2 linked regions of the Sus scrofa genome follow. The protein of the gene in region 2 purifies or fractionates together with the protein of the main gene of each other region. This does not show direct contact. Links are inferred from orthologs where the notes say so. Each region holds a gene or a part of one and is shown on either strand. Other genes may lie near its edges.

Evidence for each region.
Region 1: the proteins of MAF (region 2) and USP5 purify together in Homo sapiens (affinity purification with western blotting; 3 studies listed by BioGRID, with this or other methods). This does not show direct contact. The link is inferred for Sus scrofa from reciprocal best matches to the Homo sapiens genes MAF and USP5.

Annotation. Positions count from the first base shown.
Region 1 is NC_010447.5:63,842,762-63,846,983, forward strand, and holds the end of USP5 (ubiquitin carboxyl-terminal hydrolase 5), read right to left. Parts: intron 3,780-4,222; coding exon 3,415-3,779; intron 2,934-3,414; coding exon 2,780-2,933; exon of another isoform or gene 2,517-2,779; coding exon 2,432-2,516; intron 1,613-2,431; coding exon 1,519-1,612; 3' UTR 981-1,518; downstream 1-980. UniProt on the Homo sapiens protein: Deubiquitinating enzyme that participates in a wide range of cellular processes by specifically cleaving isopeptide bonds between ubiquitin and substrate proteins or ubiquitin itself.
Region 2 is NC_010448.4:8,466,675-8,472,095, reverse strand, and holds the start of MAF (transcription factor Maf), read right to left. Parts: upstream 3,361-5,421; 5' UTR 3,315-3,360; coding exon 2,194-3,314; intron 1-2,193.

The DNA of each region.
Region 1 (4,222 bases), on a different chromosome or scaffold from region 2:
CGCCCGTTCATCTTCCAGTTTCCCCCCACGAAGAACTTCCTAGCGGGCGCCATGGCGCTGGAGCCAGCACACTGAAGGTCAGGAGCAGCGCGCGGCCGTCTCCACTGGCCGCTTATATAGAGAGCGGAGAGGCAGAACCCCGCCCCCTTCGCGTCCTGGGCCATGACTGGCCCGCCCCGCGGAAGCCCAGCCCCGGCCCCGCCCGCCGCCCGCCGCCCGCCACCGCCCGCTGCCGCTCGCCGCCGCCCGCGTTGCGAGGTTCTGACGTCACCTTCTTTCTTGTAGCAACGTTCCAGCGGCGTCCAGGCTCGGTGGCTACAGCTTCCGTGGTCTGACTTTGGGGAGAACCGTGCGCCCGGTGCTCAGGGAAACCCCCGCTTCACGGCTTCATCACGCCACCCCCACACCGAGGGATAGGGGAGGGGCCTCTCTCCAGCTCTGGGAAAAGGAGCCTCCTTCCCCATCGGAGCCCCCACATCCCTGAGTGCTGAGCGGACACCTCTGACCCACCCGGGGCCGACCCAGCCCCACAGTAACTGGGCAAAAAACAGGGTTCAGCAGCGGAGGGATGGCCCACCTTGGCTAGAAACTGTGCAGCTAAGGGAGGGGGGTTCAGAAGTCCGCCCTGTCCCCATGAATACCCCGCTTTTTGCTCCAGCAGGCCAAGGCCTGACAAAGGACTACAGCCACTGGGGACATTTGGAAAGAACCCACCTGGGCCCCCTCCGGTATCACGGCTGCAAGAAAGGGCTCTTCCACCCCATCTCTGTTCTGTGACACCCCAGCCCACATCCCCTCATCTAACAGCCCCCACCCCGCAGCCTTCCTCTGCTGCCCCAGAGCTCACCTCACTCAGCCCCCAATCACACCAGCACAAAACATAGAAGGCAAAGGGGCAGGGCCAGGAGCTTTGTGAAACTGGCCCCGCTGCTAGCCCTGGGGAAGACAGCTTCCCCCAAAGGTATCAAACAGGACACAACTGAGCCACTGTACTTTTATTCACATCCTGTATTTTGGCATTTTCCAGAAGGACAGGGGAGAGACAGGGTGGGGAAAAGACTGAGGCAGGAGGGCGAGGGGGGTCCCCATTTCCCTCAGATCCCTCCTTGCCCAACCACACGGGGAGCACACACAACGGGGGAGGGGAGGCACAGAAGCCCCCTCCTGTGGAAGAGGCTGCACAAAGCTATACCCACGCCACACAAACAAACGAGCCCGCTCCACGCTGGGCCAGCAGGATCACAGAGAAGCAGAGCCCTGTGGGGTCAAGGGCAGGAAAGCAACAGTCTCCTCACAGACAGGCAGCCGGCCCCTCCCGTTCCCCTTCCTGCTCCATCCCCAAAGTCTCCAGAGTGCCCCCCCCACTTCGCTTGGCCATTCTCTCATAGCCTCTAGCTTCTTCCCTGCTGCTGGGGACACGAAAAGGAAAAGGGTACGGGAGCAGGGGGGCTGACATCCATCCCTCATGCCGGGTGGTCTGTCCCCTGCCCTCAGTGGTTAAGGGCTCAGGGTGGGCTCTTAGCTGGCCACTCTCTGGTAGAAGTAGATGTAGCCCAGGTCCTTGGGCGGCTTCTCAGAGGCACACACTTTCTGGTCGTTGTAGATCACCCATCTGGGGAAGAATGTGGGGGGAAAAGGATGAACAGCTCCTCTCTTGGAGGTGGCTCCTGGTGATTCCCGGGCAAAGGCTCCCAACATTCTCTGCCTGGGTCCCCAAACCTACAGTCCAGCTGCCTATCTGAAGGGAGCATCCCAATCTCACAGGGTCATTGCGACTGGACTCAGGGCTTTCAGACCCTGTGGTGTCTTTATAGCCACTTGCCACCCGTTCCTATTAGGCAGGGATCAGACAGGATATGTTTCGGGTTTTGCAGGCCATCTGGTCTCTGATACAACTACTTGACTTTCCTGTGGCAACTCGAAGAGAGCCACAGATAGATAAGTGGGTAATTGGCTGTGCTCACCAAGACTTTTTCTTTTTACGGCTGCACCTGCAAGCATACGGAGATTCCCAGGCTAGGGACCAAATTGGAGCCGTGGCCGCCGGCCTGTGCCACAGCCACAGTAACACCAGATCTGAGCCCTGCCTGCGAACTACACGCATCAAGCAGATTGCAGTAACGCCGGATCCTTAACCCACTGAGCGAGGCCCTGGATAGAACCCGCATGCTCATGGATGTTAGTCGGGTTCTTAACCCACTGAGCCACAATGGGAACTCTCAGTAGGACTTTATAAAAGTGAGTGGCCGAATTCAGCCTCTGGGCCCTTGTTGGCCAATCCCTGCCGTGAGGCTTTCTCTGTTTCCGCTGAGTTTGCGGCCCCACCAGCAACCCTTTACCTTCCCTCACACATAATCTGAGGACTTCCAGGATGCCCCTACCATTCCCACCATCACGCTCCCATTCAAAAACGCACGTGCTGGCCCCTCACCTGCCTTCCTTCTTGATGTGGCAGACATAGTGACCACACATGGTTGACGTGCCCATGTGACTAATGAAGGCGAAGAGCTGATACTCTAGGGAAGGGGGGGAGAGAGGGCAGAGAGGGAGGGCGGCTGGACCCCACAGCTCACACACAGGACGGGATTTCAGGGAACTGGAGGCATGCACTGGGCCCAGAGGCTCTCTCTCGTCCTAGGAACCCACCTCCAGGAGTCGAGCTGGTGGAAAGAAGCTTCTGCCCCCTGTCCGCCTCCTCCCACCACCCCAGGGAAGCAGACCTGGTGGAGCCAACGGGCTAGATCCCACCAGGCCTGTTCTGGTTTCAGGGGACACTCACTTCCAGGACCATCCCGGACTTTAGGTCCCACTGGTATGGACTCGGAGATGGAGTCGGCAGCGGAGCGGCCCTCCGAGATGTCCATGGCAGCCTCTGCGTCCAGGTCATCAATGTGACTGAAGATCCAGTCCACAGCCCGTTCTAAACTATTGTTCTTAGAAAAGAGAGAAGAGTCACTTTTTCTAGCACTGTCAGGCTGGAGAAGGCTGCCAGGGAAGGCCTCAGCTTCTTTATCTTTTTTTTTTCTTTCTTTTTTTAGCCTTTTCTAGGGCTGCACCCACAGCATGTGGCGGTTCCCAGGATAGGGGTCTAATCGGAGCTGTGGCTGCTGGCCTACACCACAGCCACAGCAGTGCAGGAACCGAGCCGCATCTGCGACCCACACCAGAGCTCACGGCAACACCAGATCCTTCACCCACTGAGCAAGGCCAGGGATCGAACCCGCAACCTCATGGTTCCTAGTCAGATTCGTTAACCACTGCGCCACGACGGGAACTCCGGCCTCGGCTCCTTTAGCATCTTTAGCTCCTCAGACCCGTTACGTGGGTCATCCTTGGTCTTGCTCACGAGGGATAGAAGCTTGCTCCCACCCTCTCCTTCCCACAGGACTGAGCTCGGCTGGGGGCAGGCTATACCGTGGCCCGCAGAGCTTTCAGGGCCTGGTCCCGGGAGAAGCCCATGGAGACAATGGTGGTCACGCAGTCCTCTGGTGGGGGGTCAGCTGCTGCGCTTGTGGAGCCGGGCCCGCTGGAGCCAGGCAGGATGAGAGGGTTCGCGAAATCTGTGGACGTGAAGGGGTTGAAGTGTGTGGGGCGTGCAGCGGCCCCGCCCCACCCAGCTCCCCACCCCAGCCTACCTGGATCGTCCATGTGCGACATGACCCAGTTCATGGCGGCCTCGGCCCCGCTGTTGCCCGTGTAGTAGACGGCTTTGCGGCAGGCGTCCATCGGGAAGCCCATCTCCACCAGCTGGATGATAACCGATTCATCCAACATGGGCGCTGTTGGCAGAGAAGCGCGGGCATGGGGCGTGCCTCCTGGGGCCACTCCCTGCCCCCTCCCTCCTGCCAGAGTCCAGCCCCCAGGACTCCCCCAACCACCTTGCATGCATTTTTCCTCCAAGGCCCAGCACCTGATTCCAGAACTAAAATGACAACACAACCTGATGGGGGGCCAGCCGTATCCGAAAGGTACAGAACTCAGGCTACAGATCCCCCAGGGAGCCCCTTCCTCGCCCACTGTCTGGAGGACGAGCCCCCGCCCCTGCCCCCACCCAAGTAACAAGGACAGAGGCAATCAGCCAGTGTGCCACCATCCACACAGAGACCATGGCTGGGAGGGCTCGATCGGTCCCCATGTTCATCAAGAGGGCCAAGGAAAATTTGAAAGGGAGGACAGGAGAAACACAAAGGACAGGGTCAAGGGGAGGCAGGCAGAGAAGATC
Region 2 (5,421 bases):
ACAATTTTGCACAGCAAAATATGTAAAAGAAAGGTAACTGACAAGATTTTTTTATATTTATTGTGGTAAGATTTACTTTTCATTTTGTTTTTAAAGACAGGATGTCAGTCCCTGAAAATAACATTTACTGATTATTGCCTTGAAAACTGTGGATTTTTTTTTAAGTTACAGAAAATCCAGTTCTGCACCACAATACAACTGTAAAAAAATCTGCATCATCTTAAAACTGTGCAGTAATGCCATTTTTATAACTGCATAAATTTTATTAGCGTTCTAAACAGTTTTGCAAATTTTTTTGTATTATATGCTTGCAGGTTATATCTTAGTGCAATTCAGTCCCAAATACTTTAATTTTGAAAAAAAAAAACCCATACATTTTGAATGTAAAATACCCCTACAGATATAAACAGGGGTGCTTCCCCTTTTAATACTTTGGTTTTCAATACAGTCAGTGGTATAGCAAAGACTACACATACCCAACTTATATTTAAGTTGCAAGCACATGCTGTATAAGCTACTTTTTTTTTAAACAGTCCCCTTGCAAACTCTACCCCCCTTAACATCACAACAGTAAACAATTTAGTGCATCAATCTTTTAAAAAATCTACAGCTAAACAGACCTAACTCTTTCAAATTTATCTATAACATTCCTTTATCTGTAGCATACATTTTAACTGGGCTAACAGATTATAAAAACTAGAATTAAATTATATACTAGAAACCCATAGCATTCCACATTTGACAATGACCAAAAGCCAAAAAAAAAAGTAAAATTAAAAAAAAAAAAACCAAACCAAAAATAACGGGGAAGATTTCTTTTTTTAAAAAATAAATTTGAGACTGCTTTAGGCAACAGCACAATTTTAGTCCCCCAAATGGGGTGTCATTCTTATTAAAAAGAAAACATTAAGAGTTCTTTAATGTTCGCCATGTTAAATTTTTAACCCATTCTGGCATCTTTGACAAGGAATGCCTTCAGTGCATTTACAACGGGAGGCTGAAGTTCTGAGTAACGCAAAGCAGTTTTGGAGCAGATGCAAACTTTCATGGGAAGAAGGCTCTACGGTTGCACTTTTTTGTTCTGAACTCAAAAAAGTCATGAGGCAATAAAACAAAAGTATGAATGCCATGCCATAAGTCTTCGAACGTCCATTTCCAAGCCAAAAGGAAAAAAAAAGAAAAAAATAATTATACCATACATGTCCAGCATGCAGGCTTTTTTTTTCTTATTAATATAATGTCTCTTTTCCATAAAGTCTTTGAAACAGTTATAGTTCATTGTTGCTAAGACAAAGTAGCAAGCATAATAATGCATGAGATGAGAATGAGTTTTTTAATGGCAGACTGAACTCTCAGATTTGGCATCATAAGGCCAAAACTCACAAGTCACACCCAGAAGGTTGATGCAGGCTTGATTGTGGCAGGTTCATGAGGATTTTTTTTTCTCTATTTTAGCATAACAATGCTAAAAAAAACCCCGATGGAACTCAGCACGCTGCGAGTCTATAACATTTCACATTTTTTTTTTCCTTTGCAAGCTCAATCTCATATGAAGAACTCAGGAGGAGAAAAAAAAAACTTAGCTTTTCTTTTTTTTTTTTCTTTCTTTTTTTTTTTAAATCTCAGAGGAGATGAGTGGAGAGGGAGTGAGGGTGGAAGGTGGGGGGGAGGGGAGGGCAACACAGCAAGCTCCAAAAAGTCAAATTAAAAAAAAAAAATCCAAACAAAACACACACACAGAAAATGAACACCAGCTCATGAACTGAAGAAGAAGAAAAAAAAAATATGAAGGATGCAGGCTTCAAAGGTGAGTATGAGGAACTCTGCCGAGATTTCTGAACATTGTGCAAGTTGGGGGGGGGGTAAAAAAAACAAAAACAAAAACAATCTAGCAAGTTATGGAGAATTTCAGATTGGCAATCCATGAGCCAAACAACCAGCCCCTCCCCGACTGAAAAACAGCCACCACCACCAACTCTGAGCAGGGTGTGTGTGTGTGTGTGCGTGCGTGTGTGTGTGTGTGTGTGTGTGTGTGTGTGTGCAGGGGGCAACTGCGGGGCGGGGGGCAAGCTCAGGAGGGGAGGGGGCGAGGTGGTGGCGAGCAAGGCTCTGGAACTGGCAAGCCCACACCCGAGTCGGACCCCCATGGAGCACTTATCAAGGTGGCTAGCTGGGATCGCGTGTCAGACTCACATGAAAAACTCGGGAGAGGACGGGTTGTCGCTGCTCGAGCCGTTTTCTCGGAAGCCGCTGCTCACCAACTTCTCGTATTTCTCCTTGTACGCGTCCCTCTCGCGCACCAGCCTGGAGATCTCCTGCTTGAGGTGGTCGACCTGCTGCAGCAGCTGGTTCTTCTCGGACTCCAGGACGTGCCTCTGCTGCACCCTCTTGAAGCGGCAGGACTGGGCATAGCCGCGGTTTTTCAGGGTCCGCCTCTTCTGCTTCAGCCGGATCACCTCCTCCTTGCTGACCCCGCGCAGCTGCCGGTTCAGCTCGCGCACCGACATGGTCACCAGCTGCTCATCGGAGAAGCGGTCGTCGAAGTGCAGGCCGCCGGCGGCGTGGTGCGGGTGCAGGGCGCCCCCCGCCCCCGCCGCTCCGCCGCCGCCTCCGCCGCCGCCGCCGCCGCCGCCGCCCCCGGCGCTGGCCGGGCCGCCGCTGCCCGCGCCGCCCGCGCCACCGGCCGAGGCGGACGCGCTGCCCGCGGCGCCGGGCGCGCCGGCCGTCGGGTGGTGGTGGTGGCCAGCGGCGTGGTGGTGGTGGTGGTGGTGGTAGTGCGGGCCCGCGCCGCTCTGCGCAGCGGCCGCGGCGATCACGGCGGACACCACGGCGGCGGCGGGGCCCATCTCCTCGCCGCTGCCGCCCAGGGAGGCGCCGGCGCCGGCCCCGGCCGCCGAGGCCAGCTGCTGCGCCCCGCGCGCGTAGCCATCGAAGCCGCCCTGGAGCTGGTGGCTGTTGCTGATGAGCGCCTCGACCGCGTCCTCGGGGCTGAAGCCCAGCGCCTCGGGGTTCAGCTGCTGCGGATAGCCGGTCATCCAGTAGTAGTCTTCCAGGTGCGCCTTCTGCTCGCTGCCCGAGCCCGGGCTGGGCGCCGAGAAGCTGGGGGAAGGGGGCACCGAGCTGCACGGCGTGCTCATGGGGGTGGAGGACAGCGAGCCCCCGGCGATGAGACGGCCGCACTGGCTGATGATGCGGTCGGTCTCCACCGGTTCCTTTTTCACTTCAAACTTCATCAGATCGAAGTCATTAACATATTCCATGGCCAGGGGACTGGTGGGCAGGTCGGAGTTGCTCATTGCCAGTTCTGATGCCATTCTCCTGCCGCCGCCGCCGCCGCCGCTCCGCCAGATGGGCTGCAGGAGAGGGGCCAGCGGGCTGTGCTGGGTGGCCAGCGGGTGAGCCAGCTTGCCGGGCTGGGGCGCTTCTAGCTCGCGCGGCGGTGGCTGGCCCGAAACCTCCGAGCGCGCACACACCCCCCCGCCCTGCCCGCGCCCCCGCGCCCGCCCTCCCTCCCCCTGCTCACGCCAATGTGCTCGCTGCTCGCCCGGGCCCCTCCTCGCCTGCTCGTCTCCTAGCGCGCCGAGCCGGCGGCTTCAGGCTCGGGAAGGTCCTCCGCGGGTTGCGGTGGCGGCGGCGGCGGCGGCGGCGGCGAAGCCGGAGGAGCCCGGCCGGGTGCGCGGCGTCCCCCGCTCGCCGCTCCGCTGCGCCCTTTGCATAAGGAGGGCTCGCCTCGCCGGCCTGGGCTGCAGGCGGGGCGCGCGCGGCGGCCGCTCGGGGCTGGAAGCGCGGCGGGCGGCTGTCCGGGCGGCGCTGGCCTTGGCACGGGGGAGTTAACACTTCATGCTTCTCGCCTCCTCTTCAGCCTGGCTCTTTTTATTTTTTTTTTCTCTTTCTTTCCTCTCTCTCTCTCTCTCTCTCTTTCTCTCTCTCTCCCTCGCGCTCTTCCTCCCTCCGTGCAAAGTGCAAGACAGAGGTGCAGCCGGGCTGGAGGAAAGGGAGGGGGGAGTTGAGTTCTTTCTTGGCTTTTTTTTTTTTTTTTTTTTTTAAAGCAAAATAGCGAAGTCCCGGGGAAAGGCGAGGCGGAGAGCAAAAGGGGGGAGGCCGAGCCGACGAGCAGCCCGAGCTACAGCTCGAAGATGAAAAAAAGATTTTAAAGCCTCTGATCCAGCAAGAAGAGTTTAAAGCAATTGCTGAGTTTTATAGCACTTGTGACGTCAGGCCCAAATGGGAAATTGACTGGTACTCCAGACCAATGGGAGGCGGCCGCGATTAGCATAATAGTGTAGAGACAAGGAAACTTTTCGGAGCTGTCAATCAGGGCCCAATCAGCTGACTGTCAGCTGGGACGGGCAGCCTTAACCCTTCCCGCTCCGCAGCCTCCTCAGGAGGCTGCAGAGCCGGGAACAAAGTTTGGTGTAAGAGGGGAAGGAGTTTTCCAGCGGCGCTGTGGGAAACCAGGTGGACCGGGAGGCCGATTTGCTTTACTTTGGAGCGAGAGAGGCCTGCCTTCCGGAGCCCCAGCTTGCCTGCCACTCCCTCAGCGGAGATTGGCCTGACCCCCACTCTCTGGATCCTGTATTCGCCAGGCAGCTTCTTCTCTTTACTCCACCTTCGGCACCCGGGTGTCCACCCAGGGGACCTTCCTTCCCCGAGCCTGGCACTGCCCGGAGCTCAAACTTGACCCAAACTCTTTGTCCCTCTTCCCGGAGCCGGCGCGTGGGGGTGCAGGGGTCCCGACTGCGCGCAGGACGTCGCCCGGCCGAGCGCCTGCCAGGGCGATTCGGAGTGGCGGAGACAGAAAGCCCGTTTTATCACACCCTCTTTTAAAGAAGGTGAAATAAGTTGTTCGGGGCCATTCCAAGCAGGGGCCTGCTGGCGACGCGTGCCCTTGGGGGGAAAGAACTCCTACGCGAGTTAACTCCCCCGCTCACCCTCAGGCTTCCGACTCTGGCCCCAGTTTGGCCTTTGAGATTCATTCTCATTCTCTCTCTCTCTCTCTCTCTCTCTCTCTCTCTCTCTCTCTCTCTCTCACACACACACATACACACACACACACACACACAGAGAGAGTCATCCACCCCCTTATGAAATCTGACTCCTGTTTATCAGGGTCCCGCGCGCCCTTTGCACTTCTACGTTTCACCTAATTATTTCAGACTTGATCCTGACGCGGAACGAGGGGAAAAAAACCCAACACCCTAGCCTTCACAAGCTTCCCTCGAAGGGTTAAATTTTAAACCGCGGTTTCTGGACGGGCCCGGAAACCCAGAGTGGGGGTGGGGTGGGGTGAGGTGGGGGCTACTTCTCCCCTCCGGTTGCAGATGTTAATAACTATTCAATTTTCTAGATCGATTCTTCTAAAGCTTATGCAAAAAAAAAAAAAAGAAGAAGAAGAAAAGAAGAAAAAAGAAAGAACCAACA